Linked DNA regions of Neodiprion lecontei. The protein of the gene in region 3 purifies or fractionates together with the protein of the main gene of each other region. This does not show direct contact. Links are inferred from orthologs where the notes say so. Each region holds a gene or a part of one and is shown on either strand. Other genes may lie near its edges.

Evidence for each region. Proteins that work in one complex are often made in the same cells at the same time.
Region 1: the proteins of FAS-associated factor 2 (region 3) and nuclear protein localization protein 4 homolog purify together in Homo sapiens (affinity purification with mass spectrometry; 3 studies listed by BioGRID and IntAct, with this or other methods). This does not show direct contact. The link is inferred for Neodiprion lecontei from reciprocal best matches to the Homo sapiens genes FAF2 and NPLOC4.
Region 2: the proteins of FAS-associated factor 2 (region 3) and derlin-2 purify together in Homo sapiens (affinity purification with mass spectrometry; 5 studies listed by BioGRID and IntAct, counting the BioPlex papers as one, with this or other methods). This does not show direct contact. The link is inferred for Neodiprion lecontei from reciprocal best matches to the Homo sapiens genes FAF2 and DERL2.

What each region holds. Positions count from the first base shown.
Region 1 is NC_060264.1:8,318,994-8,326,302, reverse strand, and holds the start of nuclear protein localization protein 4 homolog, read right to left. Parts: upstream 3,976-7,309; 5' UTR 3,909-3,975; coding exon 3,888-3,908; intron 3,545-3,887; coding exon 3,464-3,544; intron 2,998-3,463; coding exon 2,787-2,997; intron 2,326-2,786; coding exon 2,178-2,325; intron 1,984-2,177; coding exon 1,846-1,983; intron 1,690-1,845; coding exon 1,386-1,689; intron 1,263-1,385; coding exon 1,125-1,262; intron 1,006-1,124; coding exon 858-1,005; intron 679-857; coding exon 518-678; intron 364-517; exon of another isoform or gene 1-363. UniProt on the Homo sapiens protein: The ternary complex containing UFD1, VCP and NPLOC4 binds ubiquitinated proteins and is necessary for the export of misfolded proteins from the ER to the cytoplasm, where they are degraded by the proteasome.
Region 2 is NC_060263.1:3,015,711-3,023,566, forward strand, and holds derlin-2, read right to left. Parts: upstream 4,717-7,856; 5' UTR 4,560-4,716; coding exon 4,467-4,559; intron 4,285-4,466; coding exon 4,219-4,284; intron 4,128-4,218; coding exon 3,960-4,127; intron 3,866-3,959; coding exon 3,743-3,865; intron 3,654-3,742; coding exon 3,490-3,653; intron 3,401-3,489; coding exon 3,298-3,400; 3' UTR 3,240-3,297; intron 1,974-3,239; exon of another isoform or gene 1,832-1,973; coding exon of another isoform or gene 1,782-1,831; intron 1,647-1,781; downstream 1-1,646. Other genes in the region: protein phosphatase PTC7 homolog, read left to right, coding at 598-777, 876-1,074, 1,390-1,646, 1,782-1,831; cytoplasmic phosphatidylinositol transfer protein 1, read left to right, coding at 4,876-4,919, 5,082-5,133, 5,445-5,593, 5,701-5,822, 5,971-5,978, 6,049-6,120, 6,201-6,299, 6,377-6,532 and 1 more.
Region 3 is NC_060260.1:29,802,887-29,811,311, reverse strand, and holds FAS-associated factor 2, read left to right. Parts: upstream 1-2,738; 5' UTR 2,739-3,233; coding exon 3,234-3,296; intron 3,297-3,377; coding exon 3,378-3,458; intron 3,459-3,601; coding exon 3,602-3,827; intron 3,828-4,016; coding exon 4,017-4,203; intron 4,204-4,565; coding exon 4,566-4,739; intron 4,740-5,179; coding exon 5,180-5,275; intron 5,276-5,810; coding exon 5,811-6,123; intron 6,124-6,357; coding exon 6,358-6,522; 3' UTR 6,523-6,654; downstream 6,655-8,425. Other genes in the region: NPC intracellular cholesterol transporter 1, read right to left, coding at 1-26, 342-693, 1,969-2,022; nuclear pore complex protein NUP98A, read left to right, coding at 8,379-8,425. UniProt on the Homo sapiens protein: Plays an important role in endoplasmic reticulum-associated degradation (ERAD) that mediates ubiquitin-dependent degradation of misfolded endoplasmic reticulum proteins.

The DNA.
Region 1 (7,309 bases), on a different chromosome or scaffold from region 3:
CAGCAGAAATATGAATAAATATATGTATACAAAAGAATATACGTATAAATGCGATGGTAAAAAAAAAAAGTTAAATGTAAAACGAATTCGAATAGCACCGTTGGAAATAATTAAGTTACGTGGTAAGAAAATTCTTAATATCACAAAGACATGTTATTAAAATCGTTGAAGATCGTATAACCGAAGGATTGTGAGCATTTCAATGATGCTGTAATTGGCGATTTACTTTTTAACGAGAATAAACGGTGATTATAAAAATTAATGTTAGACGACCTCATCATTGTAAAACATGTGAACCATCCAATGTATATGTGCGCGAAAAAAAATGTTTGAAAATAAAATAAGTACGTGACGGAAACTTAATACCGCAATTAATTTCTCACTCCATATATATTATTTTATTGTTTAAACGAATATTGGAAAACAGCTGAAATTGAATTTACCCACCCAAGAAACCTTACAACATTTCATAAAATTCAATAAGGGCAATTCAAAAGAAGAGGAAGTTGTCACTTACCTTATAGTAAACATCAGGAACATATTGCTTATCTGTGGACTCAATAACGTAGCCAAGCTCCTGCGCATCCTTGGTTGGGACTAGACACCCATCACGTACCAATGCCATGCACTGATTAGAGACTTCGTATCCTTCCATGTGCACTTGATTCTTATCGTCACCTGGAGATCAAAGGAAAAGGTAAAGAATATTCTGAGAACAGTTTTTGATTGCAATGTAAAACGAAAGGCTCTGATTTACTAGGAGGTGCACTGCAGTAAATTTATACCATATTGTACCGAATAATACAGCAAGCGTGATAAACACTCTGATTAATATATTGTTAATAATTATACATTACCTGTGACACAGACTGTGACGAACTTTGAGCCAAAATAACCACTCGGTGAAAAACGGCATGGATTCGGATGCTGGTTTTGAAAGTATCCTGCCATAATACACTCTTGTGCTGATAAAAAGTGACTGTCTATATTTCTGACGTGTTTCACCTGGAAAAATACACATTCATATGCAATTAATTATTTTTGAATAACGCATTATCCACAGATCTTGTCGCGGCGTTTGTTTCAAAATGAAAATTAAAGCTTGGACGTCAGCCAATACGTACCGTGCCTTTTTTGACATCTTCAGCAATTAAATCTGTGAATATCCACCCCACTCTTTGCAAACCAAGAAGTCGAGCAAGTTCGTCGACTAATTCTTGTCTTGGATCTGGTAGGAGAGATACAGTATCTCTCGTGCTGTCCTGAGAGGAATTATAAGCCATTTGTAGATAAAATAAATATAAGTTTTGTGATTTGAAGAGCTTTAATATGTTACTAAAGTCGAAGATCATTCGAATTGTTCTTACGAATATTGAACAACTTACTTGTGGAGGTTCGTATATTGCAGCAACTACAGCCCTAATGCCTAGGGGTACGTCTGAGTGTATTTCATATCTACCATAGAGGTAACCAACACGTTGATGTCCGGTACTACGCCAGTAGTTCAAAAAGCGCTCCACTAGACTAGCATTCTCAAACATGACGTTATCAACGTGACGATACTGTTGCCGATTCAACGTGATAGCGTTGGGCTGACATTTACTGCAAATCCCACGAGGCCATGGTGGGTGATCTTTGCAGCCTGTCTTTATGCGACAACTTATGTCCTCCAGTTGAAGAAATTTCCCTCTGTGAAAGATGATAAGTTTTAAATTAAATTATAATGCCGTTTCATTTCTAAAAATTCACTTACTTCTATCAGTTGTAACATTATAATTATGACTTCCAAATATTTTTAGTGTCACAGCTTGACTTCAACATCGAACTCTCTACGTAATGACATACCTATCAACCCCAGCTGTGAGCTTTCTGAGGTACGAGTGGAATGATAAATGCTTGATGTTTTGTTCCTTGAGGTATGCTTCATCAAATGGTTCTAATGGTGAGCAGTGCACGCAGCACCCGTTTGCACCATGGCGGCATCTGTAAATATTAGGATCATGAATAGCAATAGATATTAATCGAGTACTCGTCTTAACTTAGAAAATTTCTGAATTTCTTTTCACTTAAAGTCGATCTAATCTCTCAAAATTGACCTTTGAGCGCTCAGGGGTACATTTGTAGAAAAGGAATCAAACGGATAGGCGATGTGAATGATAATCATACATTAGACTCACAATTTCTCGTCACGCTTCTGCTGTATCTTGCCATCAAGCTTCCACAGTTGTTGATCTACTTCATCTTCCGTGACACTGGCAAGAGGTCGAGATGAATTGATGGCCATAGATCCCTGCGATAATCTGCTCGTACTCGGCATTGGTTCTGCTAAGATCAGTTAACCTTATTAGGATTGAATGTTATGAGGCCGCAGTTGGTAACATTAACATAACAAAATGTTGAAACAAAATTAACTATTTCACAGTTTCGGTATAACTAGAGGAGTTGAATTCACAAGATCTGAGTTTGTAAATGCTATATTACGGTTTACTGCTGATGCATCATTACTATAGCGTTACGAACTTCAATCTGATTTAGTACTTGAAAAATTCATTCTTAACTTACTGCTCAAAATGCTTTTACATTGTGCGACGATCGATATTAACTATAAGTCCTACAAATAAGAGCAAGTATAACAAATCTATTCTTCACCCATTGTATTGATTGTTTAAAAATTCTTAAACTATGTTGTACAGCGACGAGCTTCCAGTTTACATCAAGCGAAGTTATACCAAAGTACTGCTGGCAATTATTATAATTTATACTTATAACATCTTAGTGAAGATTACCGGCAGGAATATTTATGGAGGCACTACTAGTCGATGGTCCATCCTGTGGCCGTAATACTGTGCCATTGAGGGGCACAAGGTAGACCATATCGCCGTGAGACAATCCTGTTCCAAGGACTGTTTTGCTTCGAGAAGATACGAGTTCATCCTTGTGATTTTTTAGTTTATATAATCCAAAACTAAAGCTGTCCAAGTTAAACGTATCATGTACCTAAAACATGAGAATTGAATTGATGGTGACACCGTAAAGACAACATCATTAATCCAAGTACTTCTAAGCAAACTCTGATTCGCTGTATAATGTTTTCAATAACTAAATCGTGACCAGTTCTTTCCAAATCTGTTGTTATCATTGAATCACGCATTGCTTCGTCACTAGAATAGACAGTATTTAAAAAATATTTCAAGAACAATGACTAGAGAAAAATGTGTTATCTTTACCGACAATAGATGGCTCTCAGCTCAAGCATGATAAACTGTACGCACAAACTTGAGCCAGTGGTTTCACTTATTTTAAGTCACAAAGGCTAGCATTTACAGCGACAACTTGCAATGAATTTGCGAGTAAAGAAAAATTATGAGAATTGCAATCTGCTCTTACAAATAACAAGCAGAAGTACAAAATACCTTATTATTAGTAATTTCTTTTGCAAAATAAATTGCCAAATAAGTCAAACCTTTTCAAAGAGATCACGGACTGTATCAGTCGGTCTCACTTCTATCCGTTTGGTGCCTTCGGGTGATTGAACTCTGAGAGTCTGAAAATTGAATGACAAAATAAGGGGTTGCATGAAAGTAATTAGCATCGCAGTGAAATAAATTAACAGTATTTTTTCCCTTTAGGTTAAAAAAGAGAAGAAAATACTTTCGTTACTGTTCTTGAATATTTCAACAATGTATTATACATATATTATATGCATAGACATGTACGTATTATATTTTTCCCCATCGTAGGTAATGACAAAGGCGCAAAACGCGGCGTGGGTCGGGGGGAATGAAAAGGTTACGGCTAATAAATATCTACGGTTATCGGTATAGTGGGCGACTTAATTTGTCGGTTGTTTGAGTCATAGGTGACGGTGCGGATTCAAATAGACTTACAATTAGCGTTGATTTTGACATTTCGCCGGTATTCCAGAAGCATCAGCTGTTCGAGAGAGAGTTTCGAGCCCGCTGCCACAAGGCTTGCCTGTGTTAACAAAGCCCGATCAAAATCCCTAGTCAGCTGTGGAAAAACTGCCGAGTCAACCTTACGTGCCCATAACCTCTCTACGCTAAAGTATTACTACACGGTAAGTTTTGTACTTATAATTATCACTCGCGATCGCACATAACCAGTTACGTTACCCCCTTTATTTTATCGCCGTTCATCAGAGTCCACGATAATCGGTTAATATTCCTCTGCCTAACCGCGCGCAACAACTTTTTAAACGATAAATTGAGAGATATTTCACCCGAGTCGACGACTCGACTCTATTCTCGTCGTCAAGGAGCCACTGACACTCGCGTACCAGCCGCGTGCAGGCTCAATAAAAAGAGGAGGGCCCCGCTTCTTCTAGATGATCCGAATTTTCGTCGGTAACTCTCGCCGTTTCACCCCATTTCTCATAGAAAATCATCGCCAGCTAATATATTTTTCAGTCTGCGAATCTGCATTCGCGTATTTTAGTCGATAGAGAGAAGGGAAAAAAAAGGAATGGAATAGGATACGTCGATATACGTATAGTATGCGGTACAGTCTGGTCGAAAAACATTTGAAAACAAAAAACTGTGAAATATAATAAATTATCATGTTGAAGTTAGCAACATTGTCGTAACGGTTCATGTTAGCGAAAAACTGTTGTTTCGTGACCATGGTATAGTATAAAATTAGTAAACCTTAACAAAACAAGATATAACTCTTATGATAAATATTAGTTTTTCAAGTTCGTGTTAAAATTGCGAAGTAGTGAAGTTTTTCACGATGTTCCGTTACGATAACGTTACCAACTTCAACCTCGTAATAAATTAGATTCCAAATCTGCGAACTTAAACTGCGAAGTTAAACGATAAATTTGAAATTGATTGAAAAGATTATATATCCTCTCGACATCACGCAGTAATGATAAAAACCCTATATCTATATTATTATTATCGCAACATTCTATACCAAATCTATATAATCTTTTGTCCAATTTTCATTATTATCATTAATTAATCAAAAAATATTCTGACAAAACTGCATTGATAAGCAGAAAACGATAAATTTATGCTTCGTTGAAGAATATAATGAATTCTATGAGACATTTATATCAAGCATTCCCCAAAAAAATTTGCACGAAAGTGCAGCTGATAATCAGACGTTTCGACTCAAATTCGCGGGATTTCGTAAAAAAGAAATTTTTTCTTCTACGTCAGAGGAATATTCGTCTTTCGTCGAATTCAACTACATCAGTTTCAGTCGCACCTTCTAAACGGATGTTTAATTTCGTTTTCTCTCCTCGGACAGTTTTCCGATTAGACTGTACACCCGGTCCGATACATTCTTAAACAGGTTGCACTACACGTTGACTTAAGAATCTGTATACATAGTACGGCTATATTTATGTTACATCTACTCTGTGTATACATAGACGGAAGCATAGACAACACATTGACACACACATGTATGCACATTTGTGTGTAATGTTGTATGATCATTGCGTGCGTAATTATAATTGCATGTACGCATATTGTGTTATAAAAATAAACACATATAATAAGAATAACAATCGATCAGTTTGGCAGTTAATTAATAGTTCATCTGGGTGTCAGGATGTGTCCGGCATTAACGAGTTACCTCTTTATTCTCTATACATCATTTCACATTTGGATTATAATCGTTGTTATTATTATTTTTGTTTTCACGTTGTGCTAGTGTTGTATAAAGCACGGTGTTTTTAAGCTTAATACTGGCAAGTATAATAATATGATTAGTCAATGTTTTGAAATGAAGTAACTGCGTAAAACAAATTGTCCTGTATTTCTATGCATCTCGCATTATCTGCGGTGCGTGATCATTAAGCTAAACACTTAGTAACCGCGAGATTTCGACTTTCGTACTTTTCCGTTATACCAAACACCCCTCCTGCAAGTTACTAAATGTGACTTTACGTGTTTTTACCTCTCATGTCTTCTCGTTAAATATCCGATCCTTCGCAAGAAATTGGTTTAAAAAATGAAGTCCTAAACCACAATGGAAATGAATGACGAAACCATTTCACGCGATCTTTTTTTTATCTCTGTTTCTATCGCTATGGCCGAAAAGAACTTCAAAGATTTCGTTACTGATCCAAAATATAAATTTCACCACTCGCCTACATCACACTATGACGTAGTTCATGAATGATTGTGTCATTACTCCTGCACGCAAACAACCTGTCAGCCAATTTTGCAAGCCGTATTGCGCTCGCTCAGGCGTTTATATACGTATACAATACCTCGTGACTTCTAGCTATATAACGCCATAAAATTCTTGTTACGATTCAACAGACATGTATCCGCCACGTGTCTAACTATCATTAATATACCGATGCGAAATAAGTGATCTACGTCAATATCGAAACTCAAAATTTGTAATTCGGTAAACAACATGAAACATGTTTGCATACTTGAATTTAATTGAATAAAATTGAACTTTCGTCGTTTCCTTTATCCACATATAATTGAAATTACGCGATTGCGACAGAGAACATTTCCCGATATCCCATCCGCAGACGTAGCTGCGTATTATATTCCCCGCACATATAATATATATATGTGTGCAAGATTATACTTGTGACGCGTTTACTTTTCTTAAGAGAAAGACGCAAGGTTTTCTACGCGCAAGGTCACCCCAGTTTTTCCAATTCAAAATTCGAATCTACGCGTCGTTATAATAGCGAATTAGTGCGAAGTGGGAAGATCAAAGCCTGGTTTGCGATTGTAGTGGAATTATATCCCGATGATCGCTACCGTCATCGAGTGGCGCGTAGGTAACCCTTGTCTACAAGGAACAACGAAGAGGCGTATGTAGAGAGTGGAAAATACTAGGGATCTATTATTAGGGAGAGAAATGTAGGTAGGGAATCGGAGCGACGCTCTGTGCCCCAAGAATACCGTGGGTTGGCAGGTGGAAGTGTCGAGTGTGTAACCGCACCGTCCTTTACTTCGCAGCTTGGCTCTCCACCTTGTTATTTCTCTGGAAAGATGGTATTTGTCGGGTGGTACCGGTGGAGTGTGGTTGCCTTTCAAGCTCGCCCCGCGTCTTCGCGGCAACAGGTCTGCCGCCTGCGAACTGCACCGACTGGCTTCATCCGTTGCCAGGAGGGTCAGCGCACGCTCAGTCCCAAGACTATTCCTTAATTTTCACTGTACACCACCTGCACTCGGGGGTAGATACCATAAGAAACCGGACTTCATCGCGCGCCATCACTGACACTATCATCGAGTGACAATCATTCTCAGGTCATCGTCATCGTCATCATCTTCGTCTCATAATTCGTTAGAACTCGAATATTCACCGA
Region 2 (7,856 bases), on a different chromosome or scaffold from region 3:
TAACAACAATAATAGTAATAATAATAGCAACTGCTCGAGTTGAGTCTCGCTCATTGAATGCAACCTAGGATTGAAAAAAATATTGTTTTGTCTAAGAATATAATGCATATACTGTATTTGGAAAGTAAAAAAGTGTGACAACAATGAAACTTCAAGCATGTGACACTGTGGCAACCGTTCAAAACTTATAAATATTACCCGTCCTTCCCTCTACCTTAAATGCATGCTGCCAAAATTGACTCGCATTCACAAGTCAGTTTATTTTTAGTTTCTGTTGAAAAGAAACATCAAACGTTTGCGCGTGGCACGTGACCGATTCACAGATGCGATCCTGTGACCAGAGCATTATGTATAGATATATACTTGTCTCGTTACATAGCTATAATATTACACAAACACGATCGAATTAGATATGCACTATATTTCGGTGAACCATTTTTTCACCAGCTTGTCTGAATTGCTACTTATATTCCCGCAATAACTTTTTTTATTTTCAACCAACAAGAAATTGTAGCTCAGTATTGTACAAATAAAAATCCGACGTAGGACTTTCAATTGATAATTCTGAGTTTCCATTTAATTATTCGATTATACTAGGTGTCGCCGACGGCGTAGGTGGATGGAGACACTACGGAATTGACCCTGGAGAGTTTTCAAATTTTCTAATGAGAACCTGTGAAAGGCTAGTCACAATGGGCAGGTTTACCCCGTCAGAACCTGCAGGTTTACTGGCGCGTAGCTACTATGAGTTATTGGAAAACAAGCAGCCCATACCCGGTAAGGAATATTTAAAAAATATACGCAATAGAAATTGTCCAACTTTGGACTTCAAATTTAGACACTGATGCATCTTCTTTTAAACATATTAAATTTAGGCAGCAGCACCGCGTGCGTCATAGTATTAAATAAAGAGACCAGCAGCATTTATGCAGCTAATATAGGAGACAGCGGATTTGTGGTTGTCAGGAGAGGAGAAGTAGTGCATCGTTCATCGGAACAGCAGCACTACTTCAACACTCCGTTTCAATTGTCGTCACCACCTCCTGGCCACAGTGGGTTGGTACTTAGCGACAGGTGAGAGACAATTAATTTTTACTTGCAGTAACAACTAATTAGTTTTTCATTAATTGCCATTTCGAATCCCAAATACAGTTGACATAATAATTACACTTTGAATAATTATAAATAGGGTGCATTTATTCTCTATTATATGTTTATTCTTTTTTTTTTTCTTTCTCTTTTTAACAAACTTCACGTTATTTACAATTGGATTATAATTTTGGGATCTAAACTTTGAATACAAACAATTATATGCGTGTATGATATGCCGATTCCCTGCTAGAAGTTTGAACCCGACAATATTTTACAAGTTTAGTAATATTTTTATAGGCCCGAAGCTGCGGACACTTCCAGCTTTGGCGTGGAAGATGGGGATGTTATTCTTTTAGCAACTGACGGAGTTTTCGACAATGTACCTGACCAGTTGTTAGTCACCGAGATGCGCAAAGTCCAAGGAGAGCGTGATCCTACGAAATTGCAGGGTGTTGCCAATTCAATAGCCTGGATGGCCCGCAGTCTTGCGTTCGACGGGGCTTTTATGTCACCATTTGCCCAAAATGCTAGAGAAAATGGAATAGATGCTATAGGTTAGTACTGGGCATGAAATGCAGCCACCGCTTACTCTTGAACCAATTTCAACACGTACTTTGGTCTTGCGAAATTTTCATGCAATATTTTCACTTCAGAGAACATGAACAACAAAATATCATTGTTTGTTACAGGTGGTAAACCAGATGATATCACGGTGCTTCTAGCAACAGTGGCGATATAACTAAAAAATGTGTATAATAGAGCCCCGATCATTGTATTATAGTCCATGTCATTGCATATATGTATTAAGTTGCACATCATTCTATCCCAATATTATAACCCATTACTATTTAAATCTAAATAAATGATTTTTCAAATCATGATTCACTCTGATGAATTCATTTCAGACACATGGCTAACGTTTACTCTACAATGAACGTTCTACCAACGTAAATGAATAGTGGACAAAAGCGTTATTTAAATAGCTCATTCCGAAAGTCTGACAAATTGTTGAATTATTTCAAGTATTCAAGGAATAGCACTCTTGAAAACATGATAATAGACTTCGGTTAACTGTACATTCGAAAACGTTTGACGGCAAAAACAATATGTTTAGAGGTATCAATAAATTAAACGCTTACGATAATACTTAAATATTTTGAAAAGGTACTATTGATTGTACGAATATTAAAGCTGATCTTTGGGAAATGGTTTTAAGAATGTGAGAATTGGATGTATAATTTTCTGCACCGTATGTTTGATTTTAAGAAATCATAGTCATGGACCGTTGTTATTAATAAAATATACTGCTTACATTTGTAGCTGAGCCCCAATGGTTAATCGGAAAGATTCTACTTCTAGTTAGACATTATGCGCACGAGTTCACAACTATCATTATTAAAAGCCTTAGAAATGTTCTGACATTATCCGATGCAGAAACTTCTGAGTTCATTTCACCTGGAGAATTTTAATTGATACTTTATTTTTATAGCTAAATCACAGATAGTAAGACATTTTACACAAATATAAATATATTATGACGAAACTTACATAGACAATTGAGATGCAAACCAACGCTTGCCATGTTTTTAAACAGGTTTTTCAAACGACCATTCAAGTTTACTACCAACATCTAATTATATAATTTGAGAATTGCATGTATGATAAATTGCGAAAACTTGTTTTCTAATGCCTTTAATGTCATCTCACTATGGTAGCAGAGCATCGTTCGATCATTCAATCATACCTTTTACCATAACAACCTATGTTACTTGTACGTAAAATTAACTTGATAATTGGAATATAAGATTTTCCTTCCGATTGATCTAGTGATTCTAGAAGAGTGACGGCAGGAACTCATTCAAGTAGTTTTCTGTTATTACTCAATTTTTGAATAGCTTTAGAAAATGTCAATGCTGAATGAGATATTGCATAAGCACGGGTTTCTTGGTTTAAAAATTGTAAATATTCAGCAAAACCCCTCAAATCATTAAAGTTTGATGCATGCATAACAATTGCAACTGTTTCGAGTGGATATGCCATAGATACCCAGCACTTAAACTACAATTAAATATCTTCAAAAAATATGCAGCATTATGTCAAATTAAAGTAACTGTTATATACGACAAAAAAATAACTGAAGGATTTACTTGAAACGCTCGGGTGATGATAATAATGTGGTGTTAATTCGGCGAATTTGTCTGCGAATCATTGCACGTTAGCACCTTGACCCCAGTTAAAACCGCCCGGCCTATCCTCAGGTAACGGTGTGTAATTTGGATCCTCCGTATGTGCATCGAACAGAGTTTTTCTGAACACAGAAATTTATTATAAGAAGTATGACCTAACCTTTGGTGAGAGCCTTAATTTGAAGACAGTAGATAAATCTGAATAACTCACAATATCTGCGGGGTCTTGAGTATGCGAAAACCACCATTTTGTCGTGGAAATACATCTTCAGCAAAGTAGTACATGTGTCCTACTGCCATTCCGATCAAATCAACCCAAATTGCATTGCCTAATAGAACGGAGAATCCTAAGAGCACCCAAGGCAAGTATGGCGCCTATGTAGAACGGAAAAAATTACAATGCGTCTGTTACATCAAAATCGATATTCCTTCTATTTTTCCAATTTAATTATCTGCAAGCGTACTTGAAAGTTGAGGAGTCCAAAAAAGTTCATTCTGACAAAAGGATTCCGTCTTGACCATATATACACCAACATGATGGTGAGTGCTTGGCCAAGGAACAATAAATTAACGAAAAATGCGAATATCTGTAAGAATTTGAGGAATAATACTCAACTAGAGCAATGCGGATGATACAATAATAAAATAAAACGGAGACGAAAAGTTCATAGACAAGGATACAATCATGCAGATGCCACCAAATATGAACATCATAACAAAGTCGGCGGTTCTACCGCGGAACGAGACTTCTTCCAGCATCCGACAATAGCGATACGTAAATATCATATTGAAGAAGAAATTGAATCCAACCGTCCCGAAGAATAGGAAAGTTGTGATCAGTCGCCATAACTGCAAAGGTATAATTAACAAGAGAGAGATATTAACTCACCGTGGAACGATATTTATATTTTCTAACGTAGAAACTGATTGAGAAAATTACCTGATATTGTTTCAGTATTAAAATCGGATTGAAGTATAATTGGAATGGAGAGACGAGGTCCAATTGCTGTAAGAAAAAGAATAAAAATTTAATTTGACACAAATTTAACCTCGCAGTAATGACGAACGTTTTGTCAATACTGAAAAGTGCAGTAATCACGGGGGTAACATGGAATCTGAATAATATCGAGAATCGAGTGAACTCTGACGGAAAATTTTGTACGAAGATAATAAAATACGTATGTATACCACGGCTAGAGTCGTGATGACACAAGCAGTCGTATACGCTCGTGTCACCACGGGCATTTGCAGGTATTCCTGCCTAAACGTTTGATAAGCCATTTAACGACGGTTATATTTCTACCCTCTGACAGGCTATTCTCTTTCCTATTTTACAGTTGCATGTCGTTCATCCTTTCGCGTTATCATAACGTAATCATTGTCCACATCACAGAAAAACTTGTCAGTCACTTCAATTTGGTACACGTAATATAAATATACACGTATGTACGTACATACATTACGTGTGCAGTGTGTGGCAATGCGAAGTGAGCTGCATATCAGATATCAGCTGTAACGATGTATCGATGCTTTTCAGATGGGGTAAGCGCGGCTTGAAGTAGGCTGCATTTTCGTCCTATTCGCGTTTGTTTATCTTATGGTGTTTCGTCGTCTATGGTTTGTCCCATCAAAGCAGACCACGTATGTTGTACTTGCGGTATACATAGTTTCGAAAATTGTATCTCGCTATAAATTTTCCCAATTTACATTACGATTTTATAACTGAAAAATATTAATTTCACATTGGAGGATTAACTTCTAATCTTGTCAGATTAAATATAACTTATAACTTGTCGTGATTAGAATGGTGTTGACCAAGGAATATCGGATATGCATGCCGTTTACCACGGACGAGGTAATGAGATTATAATTTTAAATTCTTTTTTCAATTATGCACGAATCAATTATGAATAAAATCACTGTTACAACGATTATAGGCAATTCTATATAAACATGTTGATTTGCGTATATTATTATATTTAATTTGGATGAATAATCGCACAATCAATCGAATATATTTATCCAAATATGATGCATCGGCAATCATTCCTTCGCGAGTGAGAATTCAAATATCGGTTCACGTAACAAGGACCTAGTTACAGTATTTGCCAAGTAATGTTGGAGAAAATAAAATTCCAAAATTTCTCTCATCGTTTATCATTTTAGTATCAAATCGGACAATTGTATATGATTGCGCGACACAGTCACGAGCAATCTGATTCCGATGAAGGTGTCGAAGTTATTGAGACGTCGCCGTGCGAACATGCCACTCATGGAACAGGTCAATTTACTGAGAAGAGGATTCATCTTTCAAAGTAATATATTCTTGATCCATGGATAATGAAGCAGTTTTCTATATCGTTTTCAATCTTCCATGCCTTTATGTTATTTCAACCGTTATTGTTCTCCTCCTTCATTTCAGTAAACTACCGTATTGGATCCAATCATTTGTACCGAAGATATTTTACATTACTGAAAAAGCTTGGAACTACTATCCTTTCACAATTACGGGTGAGATGTTTCAACTTTTGTTGGAAATTAAAGGTGATTCAATTCAAATCTGCAACGAATCACTCCCAAGTACCTTAGAACATATAAACCATACCCTATTTGTTTTGGAACACTTTTCCATTCCCTGCAAATAAAATAATATGTAATATTTTGTTACATGGGGCAATGGTGATCTTCACAGTTTACACAGTGAGTATTATGCATTAAATTTCATTAAAATTCCATTATGCATTGTACAACGGGTGTATTTGTATTTCAGTGTTCGTTCATACCCACATTTCACATATCTATCAATACTAGATACGAAAACAACAATGGCTCAAATGAAAACGTGAGTTATTCACTTGTAATATTGAATGATATATATGTCACCGTTTCAATCATTGATTCTAATATCTAGTCAATGGGTAGTGCTTAGATTTAACTCCTGTGGAACTTATTCATCGGGAAGTTGATTATATTGACATCGCATATGATGAAATAGCTGCCAAGCACTACAAAGAGGAGGAGGTATGTTTCCTGCACTTTTAGCGTCTGTCATACGTTATTCGCATTAGACTGAATGCAATTCTTCATTTTCTACTCAGGATCCAAAATACTTTAAATCGAAAGTAACTGGACGAGGTCCTCTCGTTGAAGGATGGAGAGATGTTACGCAGCCTATAATGTGCTCGTATAAATTGGTTCAGGCTTCGTTCGATGTCTGGGGAATGCGGACACGAGTCGAGGAGTTTATTCACAGAGTGAGAAATTACTTCCCTCCGATTGTCGATTAGAATTCTAGCCAAAGGCTGCACAGTCAATCCCAACACTCAGCTGTGCAAATAACTGATTTTCAAAAATATTTTACAGTGTATAAGGGATATTCTTTTACTTGGACATCGACAAGCCTTTGCGTGGATAGACGATTGGTACGGAATGACACTGGAAGACGTACGGCAATACGAGTCGAACATGCAAACGGAAACCAACAATAAAGTCAACGTCAAGCCTACTGAACCTGTGTTGCCCACCACACCTACTACACCTTCAACCTCTGTTCCGTCATCGCCTAACCAAGAAACTGCAAAGGAAGCAGTAAATCGTTCATGGTTCTCCTGGTCATAGCCCGAACGAAACCTCTTACAAAATGTATCGAGATTTGTAGCCAGCAATCGCCACACCTCGATCATTTACATTCTAAAAATAACGAGTATATTATTGTATTTACTATCGACGAACCGGGAACCGTTCGGGTGTTCGTATACAACACGCAATGCACAATTTGATATTTGTAAAAAGTTCAATTTTTTCCCTGTCAAAAAATTGATTAATTTCCAAGTATCCAAGCAATCAAAATAATCTGTGAGATGTATACTTTTCACGTAAATTAACACACGGATTTTATTGTAGTCAAAATGTAGTGCAATGTATAGTTAGACTAGCGAGGTGTTGATTGTTTTATGCAATTGTAAGGCCATGCGGATGTAAATTCGCTACCAGTATAAATACAATCTTCGTGACGTCGATCTTGCCGGTATTCCTTGTTCGTACTAGAATTGAACATAGTTTCACAATAATGTCCTTTCTTGTGAATGTTATTCAGGATAAGTATTTTTGTCGTTTACAATAACAATAACGCAAATTGATCGTTCCTTTTAATTTAATTTAAAAATCAAAATATACAATATTAGCCTACGCAATGTTATACCTATAATCGCGTTTCTGTGTGTTACGGTGTTAATATAAATTAAATATTATTTCACTGTTAGTCTTTTTTTTTTCTTTTTCTTTCATTCCAACAGCAACTTGCAGACCACGACTGTTACCAAAATCTTTCCTCGATTACGTGAATGTGCTTGTACAATGTCACAAGAAGAATTTACAGTATTCTAAAACAAGTGTAGAAAAAACAAAAAGAAAAACCTTTATCAGCTGTATTTCACGTCAATAAAAATTTGAATTTATTATTTTACTGCTGCTATTTTTTCACCATTAGTGAAATAAATCACTGGTTAAATAAGTATTTTTATCCATGATCTGGTGTATCTGGTGTCATCAACTAAATATATCCTGTTTTGTCGAATC
Region 3 (8,425 bases):
ATCTATTTCATTAACGTAGGTTTTATCTATAAATGACACATAATGAGTATATTAATAATTGAACCGAATTCTCAAATTACACGAGCCTACATGAACTTTACTCCAGAAACTGAAGATTAAAAGAAAGGTTGTTTCATGCTGGATATATGGTTCATCATCTTAAAATTCGAGAAATTTGTATGCAATAAAAAAAAAAAAAAAACCCAACATTTATCGCATGTGATGAAAAGTTTGTCAATTGCTCTACATTCAACATCAAAAGCCCAATACAGAGAAATCATTATGATTGACCGATCAGTCTTCATTTGATAATGGTATTACTCAGTCGTAATTTAACTTACTATCGGCTGTTACATTGGTGCTCGTGACATCAATAAATTTACTCTGAAACGGGCTGCATGTAAATTCACATATGTGTTTAACCCAATTATTGAGACAGCTCGGACATCTTTGCAACAAGATAGCGCCCTGATTTACTTGGGTATTCAGGGTCGTCAATTGCTGCGGACTACAGCAAGTCGTTGTACCATTTTCTGTATTGTTTATAAGGTGCGAACACCATGTGGATAGAAGCTCCTGTCCAGTCTTATTCAATGGTTTCGCTTCTCCTGTATATAGGCAATTTAGCATACCTCTTGGGCCCTTATAACACTCATCATACCATATGCAGTGTCCATCATCAGTGCTAGATACCTTTTAGAAAAAGAATATACATACATGTGTTCAAGCCTTTTGATTCAGACGACAATTGAAAGATTTTTCGAATTTGCAATAGGGATATGTTCAAAGTATCATGTTTCTGCAAAATAGTTGATTATATGCATCGAATATTATTTCGGTACATAAATGCTTTGGTAAGGAGTCAACATCTCATATAGTGATACAATTTCACTATCCTATTAGAATGATATTAGAACGAAAGTTACGACACGTTGTTGTGTCAGAATATGATAACGACTATCGAGAAAAACCAAGTTTGATACGTTAATTAAATATTATGATATAACTGTGGAAATAAAACTTTCCACATCCAGAGTACATTAGAAGCCAAGCAAAGTTCAAAATCCATGAATTTTCGCTTGAAATATAAAAAAAAAAAAAATCAAGGTCGCAATAGTTATATATATACACGTCTGTTCGCATTCGAAAACCAGTTCTTAAAGTCAACTGAAACCTTACGAGCATTCCTGAGATTACCTTGGAATGAAAATCTTCCGAACGGCGTACTAGTTACTCTATAGGGGGACTCTACTTACTCTCTGTCATGTTTTTTTGTTACGATAATGTATGCACAATTATGCATATACCTATAATCGTGCGAAGTCGAGAAAACAAGTAATATATAATGTAGTCGCCAAAGCTTTGATAAATTGCCAGGGCATATTCCTAATTACAAAGTTGCTGCTTCGGCTCATTGGCGAAATTTGATACGATCTCACTGACGTTGAACTTGTGAAAAGTGACTAATCAAATAATCTACGGACTCGACGAGTCATTTTTAGACCATCGTAGGTACGCATTTATAATGTACACTCAGATAGAGTTATCGCAAATCGTATCAACGGCGTATTTATCTATCACGAATTTCTTGTATGCGAAGCATGTCATATTAATTGGAAATTGACGCCATATTATAATCATACAATGTCATAAGACAGTTGATACGGATGCAGGATTTGTTAGCGCAATGTACAGGGTTATGATGTACCGAAGCTAATTCAACGGTCTAAAGTCTTTAATGGACAATGCAGAGGAGGCAATTAGATTTAATAACCTCGTCAATGATCATCAATAAGCGTTTAAGACGATGAGGTGATGTGACGTCACGCACAAAGAAAAATATCCGACCGTTAGCGCCTTTTCTTCATCGTCATGGGTGTGGTGTGATAAAACAATAAATATATTATATATATGTGTGCGTGTGTATGTGCATACGTTACTTTAAGTAAGCAAATATTTGTTACGTACCACAACCAGCAATCCGGCAAATGCAAAAAGAAACGCCGAGGTTTTATCGAACATTTTTGCACCTGTCAAAGCCCAAGCGCTTGACGATGAAAGTCCACTCCGACTTCTTCTATTTCACTACTTGCCAATCTAGCATTTACTAATAATTGCCAGCTCCGGGCTTACAATAATAAGAACACGAACGTATCTATGTACTTTGGTACGTGTTAAATGTCTTTGACATATATCAATTTTTTTAAATACTTAATCACTGTACAACACAATCCTACGCACGTCAGTAACGATCAGTGCGTAAAAATATATTCACTAGGCGCTAATGTTTCACGCGAGTGGTCGCGACAACGCTTGCTACGCACGGAAACCACGAGTGAACTAAAATGAATCAATCGAGACTCGAACCTTCCTCGAGCGAGGGTCTGGGGGTCGAATCAACTCATCGACCGTTCGTCATTCGTCCAATCAGGATCGCTCTACCACGATTCTACTGCCGCTTAATGCATGAATCATGACATGCTGTGCTCGTGATTTTTGCAATATATTATACTATGCCATGAGGCGTTTGCAATGACATTTAAAAATAATTATATCTGAGTCCATCTCAGATGTTTTTTGTTCCAGCTTGGCCATGAAAAATTTGTTATATTTAATTGACAATTGCTAATTGGAAATATCCAGCCGTCCGCGGAAGTGCAATGGGAACATTGCGGTGGCGCATGACACAACAAAATTGCGATTTGAATCATAATCAAATAGAATAAACTTAAGTACTTGACTATGATATTCCAATTAAACAAAGCTGTGTAATCGTTGATTCGTAATTCGTCTTATCTCTCTGTTGGCTTAATTGTTTGCGCGCAAGTGTCGCAATTTGAAATAATCGAGTATGTATACATGTAATATGTATTGTATTGTAACCAGTGAGTCTCCCTCTGTAGTGTGCATAAAAAAACATTGGATAGATAGTCACTGAGGAACACTGGTCGAATAAATGCTCTAAAGCGTTGGAAACACGGAAGGCACTGCAAAGATGCGCGAAAGTGACTTGTGATCGTGCTTGTGATGATCCAGCGTAGCAAGACGTATTGAAATTAAGGTTAATTTTTTTCCCCATTCCCGAACTAACTACCCAAATGATCATTCGGTTAGCTGGTTGCTCAAGTTTTATAAGCGTCTCGTACTGTAGTTGATAAGCATTTGACAAAAAAAAAAGTTGAAAAGGCATACTTCATTACACAATTTTACACAAGTCAAAATCGAAACCAACCATGGCAGATCTTAGAATTGGAGAGTTATCTCCTGATCAAACAGAAAAAGTTCTTCAATTTCAGGTAAATTTCCTCCTTCATACTTGAACTTTTGTCAAAAACTTACCTATCGATAAGTTAATTACCGTCACCACATTTTTCTAGGACTTGACCGGTATCGATGATTTGTCTGTGTGTCAAGATGTTCTACATCGTCACAATTGGAACTTGGAAGTAGCTGTACAGGTACATTAAACTTGCAGATCATTCATTTTCCTGATTACTTATCGACCAGGAAGCATCTTTGTTTTAATAACTGTTTTTCTTTTTTGTCAACAATCTTAACCTCCAACCCGAGCCTTTATATTTATTACTCGATGAAAATCTAGGAGCAACTCAACCTGTACGAAGGAAGACCCTCCATGTATGCGCAAGATTCACGGTCTCGGCCACCGCCAGTCATTGATGATACGGGATTTCGAATTTATTTTAACCCTCCAAACACTTCGGATAATGGCGGCAGTTTATTCTCTTATATTTACACATTGTGGTGCAATATTGTCTCTAGTATCGGACAACTACTCCTTGCTATATTTCGCTCAGACATTAGACCTAGTAAGTGTAATCATAGTGAATTCCGTTAACTTATTGTTACTCTGTTGCGTAGTGATAAATCGCTAATACAAAGGTTGTGACTGCTGTCGACTTGTAACGTAGCAATCCAGGTTCATCTTTAAGATTCGACTAACATCATATGTCGCTGTGTTTTACAATAACTCCATAAAACCATTTACATATTCGCAGTATCCTCGGATCCTGTGGAGGATGTTGTAAATTTCATAAGAGTATATGAGGAGCGCTACGGAAATATCCATCCTGTATTTTATCAAGGATCCTACAGCCAAGCTATTTCTGATGCGAAACAGGAGCTCAGATTCTTACTAGTTTATTTACACAAAGACGAAGCTCAAGATATTGATCAATGGTGCAGGTAATCTTGGTTCACTGCTTGATTCGGATTTCTAACTTTCTTCCTGCGTGTGGATGATTTTCAATCACATAAATATTATCTCTTAGTGTCAAAGTAATTAACATGTGCAAGAGCCACGCTCACAATCTGAAGATCCCATATTTCCACTGATAATATCAAAGTTATATACTGAAGTGTTTATAAAGCACTTTCAAAAATGAAATTTTATTATTGCTGAACGTATAATGAAAGACATGCATACATGCCAAGCTATGGCATTTTCGTGATACTTAAAGCTCTTACACATCTCCGGTAGACTATATTCTATTCTGTAAGTTTTGCAGCCAGAAATAATATCTATCATATATTCATTTACTCCTCAGAAGGACTCTGGGCGATCCAGAGGTGGTGAGGTTTATCAATACGCGAACACTATTCTGGGCATGTAACGTCCAGTCTGGAGAAGGCTATAAGGTTTCAGAAGCTCTTAGGTCAGGCACTTACCCTTTCCTTGCCCTTATTGTTCTCAGGGATAACAGAATGACTATCGTTGGGCGGTGAGTGGTAAAACTACGACATATGTTACAGATTAATCATGCTGCCAGTACCTCTTAGTCAAACACATAACACAAATGCGCGTTATTGTGGTAGACTATATTTGGAATGTTCAAGACTGTTTTTGTATTTCATATAAAATAGCATCTGATAACAGATGACACATTTACCTTCAGCACCCATCAGTTATTAGGCACTATGTCATACTAAATAAAATGACACCAAAAATAGCTTAAAGGTTGATTCTACTTTAAGCACAATTTGAAGAATGGAGAATCCAGTTTATAAAAGTCACTAGCCTGTGCGTACCTTTATTTATGGGGAATTCACTCTCAACAAATAAATTACTTTGTCATACCGATTCAAATTAACTGTTAATTACACAGAATATCGGATAAATTTGAATTTTTCTATTAATCATGATATTATTAAATGATCTCAGCATGGAAGGTTCACCTACACCATCTGAACTGATTCCTCGCCTGCAAACTATTATGGAAAATAACGAAATCGGTCTTATTCAGGCAAGACAAGATAGGTAAGATATATCAATTGTACATACATATCCACTTATACCTGGTAAATTATAACAAATAACAAAGAAACCCGATCGAAAATTGCATGAAGTTGAAGTTAGTACCGTTATTGTAACGACACACTGAGAAAGAAATCACTGCCCCGCAACTTTAGAATGACTTCAAAGAAGTACAGTTTCCGAAATGGCTATGTTTTACTTTTCAATATGGTTTGCGCAATCTCTTGACAATCTCAAAATTGTGAGATAACAATTTTTCCTAAACATGCATCGTTATGTCAACGATATATGAACTTCAACCTTGCACCGCAAACCAATCTTATAAAATCAGATTGCAATTCTCTTTACCCAAAATCTTCTGATATTTGGATGCTTAAGGCTTTCAATGATTTCGTTATGCTTGCAAGTGTGAGTACAATAAGGGCCAGCCCGAATTGACAGCAGAGTTTATACTGTACTCAAAGGTCTAATCGGCAAAACTAGAATTCATAGAATTAAATATTATCAAATTAATTGTATATACTGTTACATTGTTCAGGGCAGAACGTAGTGCAACTCAGTCTCTGCGTCAGCAACAAGATGAAGCTTATGAAGAATCATTAAGAGCTGACCAAGAGAAGGACCGACGAAGAGAAGAGGAGCGAAGAGCAAAAGAAGAGAAAGAAGCCAAGGAAAAAGAAGAACTCAATGCTCAAGAGCGGGAAATTCAAAGAATTCGGCAAGAGAAAGAGCTCACAGTTAAGAAAGTTCCATTAGAGCCCAACCTTTCTAACCCTAATGTGTGTCATCTTCAAATAAAACTCGGCGAAAGAACTATGAAAAGAAGATTTCTATTGTCTGACACAACCGAGGTAAATTTTTTATTGAGATACGCATCACAGTCGTCCTAACTATGTCAGTAAAATATCATCAAATATCAACTATGTCAGTAAACACACATTGGAAGTACACAAAAAGATCCGTCACATAATATGATTATTATATGATGTGACCCTTTACATTGGTCCAAAAACTATGGACATTGACTATCTAATTGTAAGTTTATTTTGGAACATAATTCTCTTGAATTTTACTATTCATTTCAGGACGTGTACCATTGGATATTCTGTCAGCCAGATTCGCCAGCTAATTTTGAAATTACAACTAGTTACCCAAGAAGAATTCTTTATCCAGCCAACATTATACGGACATTGGGTGAAGCTGGATTAACACAGCGAGAAGTGCTACACGTTAATAATTTGGATGATTAACACTGACCAATATACCTACCTACATTCACTATTTTCGGTGTCACTCCGAGGAATGAATGATTCAGCGGAAAGAGACGTTTACTGAAAGATAATATATATTTGATACATTCTAGTATTTTACATACTACGCCACTGCTACACGGTAGTAAAAAAAAAAAAAAACTATCGAGAGATATATAATTATTGAAGATTTGAATATGTTAAGCTTTACAAAAAGCTTCTTAATATGTATAATATTTCTACAGAGATGTACTAAATTAATATAGTAGATACTTAACCATTTTTTCCTGCGTCACCTACAAGCGGATTTTTATACGTGATTCATTGGGTCACCTTGGTCTTTCTACAAATATGCTTCTGAACATCACAATCATTTCTATCTCGTAGGGAAAAAATTAATTTTGCACAGCTATGAATTAGTCAATTAAACCATTATGGAACATAATATATCACTCGATGCTTCGACCCATACAATAACGTATTGTTTCTCAGTTACTTCAAAATGAAATAGGCACCCATTTAAAAAGAAATCAGGGATATTGTGGAGGTTTAGGCTTAAGAAATACATGCGTTAATCGGCGAACACTATGGACTCGAAGTATAAAAGATGCAAGCTAGTCCTAATTAAGAAAAAGATACTTCAATTACTCAATCCTTATAACAAAATTATGTTATATTTAATAACGGCGGTACTCTTTACATCGAGTCTTATTATCGAACGTTATAGGCCTGATTTTAGATGAGATTTTACTTAAAATTATTGTACCGTAACATGCCTACGGAAAAGTATGTATGTAATTAAAAATTTACCGTATGAATAAAAACTGAAAGTTTTCATTGCAAATCTAGCAAAGTTCGAAAAGTATAATTTTATTCTACTATTTCAACATACGGGTTTTTACTCATTTTTACGCATGATAGAATAACCATATCAATTATCTACCCCTTGTAAGCTTGAATCACGAAGTCACTCAAATGCGTGAATCGACAGAACTTGCCGCAGTAATCGTTTACATTGGGTTACTTTTTTGTACCACCAGCGTCGCTAGTGTTCCTTTTGTACCGAAGTGTCATTAGTTGCAGAGATGTTCAAAGTCGACTAATCGATGACAGTGCTGCCAGAAAGCGAGTAAAAAGTATCCCTTCCCTAGCAGCTTGCGCGCATCTCACACAACGTCAACGGTGCACGTCGGTGTGTCGGGATGGCGACGGAAGCCGAACGATGCCGAGTCAGCTGACAAATCGAGGGGAAATGTTCCCCTACCAAGCAATGAAGAGAGCGCACACACACAACGTCACACAGCTGTGCGCGGGATCTGTGGAAGGGGTACTTTTTACTCGCTTTCTGGCAGCACTGATCGATGATCGTGCAATGTGATAAGTGATTCGTAGAAAGTTTTCACTGCCGCCCTATACTCCGTCCACCGTCTTCGGTGCATGCAGCTGTTTATGTACGTGGAGTTCGAGCACTTTGTGTAGTCATGTGTAGTTTCCATGCGCAAGGTAGTACTGCGCCAATGATATGGCTGCACAATTTACGTGATAACACCATGTGACGCTACCTGCACTTTCCAGAGTACAGTTGTTAGTCTAGTCCGCGAGTGATGGAACTTATTGTTTTTCCGTTTCGGAATACAGTGTCAGCAGTACGAGAACCATTTCAGTACGCCAACATTACTTGCTCTGGTGTATGAAATTTTGTACATGAAAACATTTATCTCATAGGATGTAGAATGTTATTGCGAATAGTCGGATGCATCTGATGTAATTATTTCCATGTCGTCCGGTGTTAAACCATAGAGGTATTTGTCAAACTCGCGTATACGGTTGCGTCGGACTAATAATAGTCTTTCATTATGACAACGTGCAAGTATTTTCTACAAGGCAATTGTCGTTTCGGCCA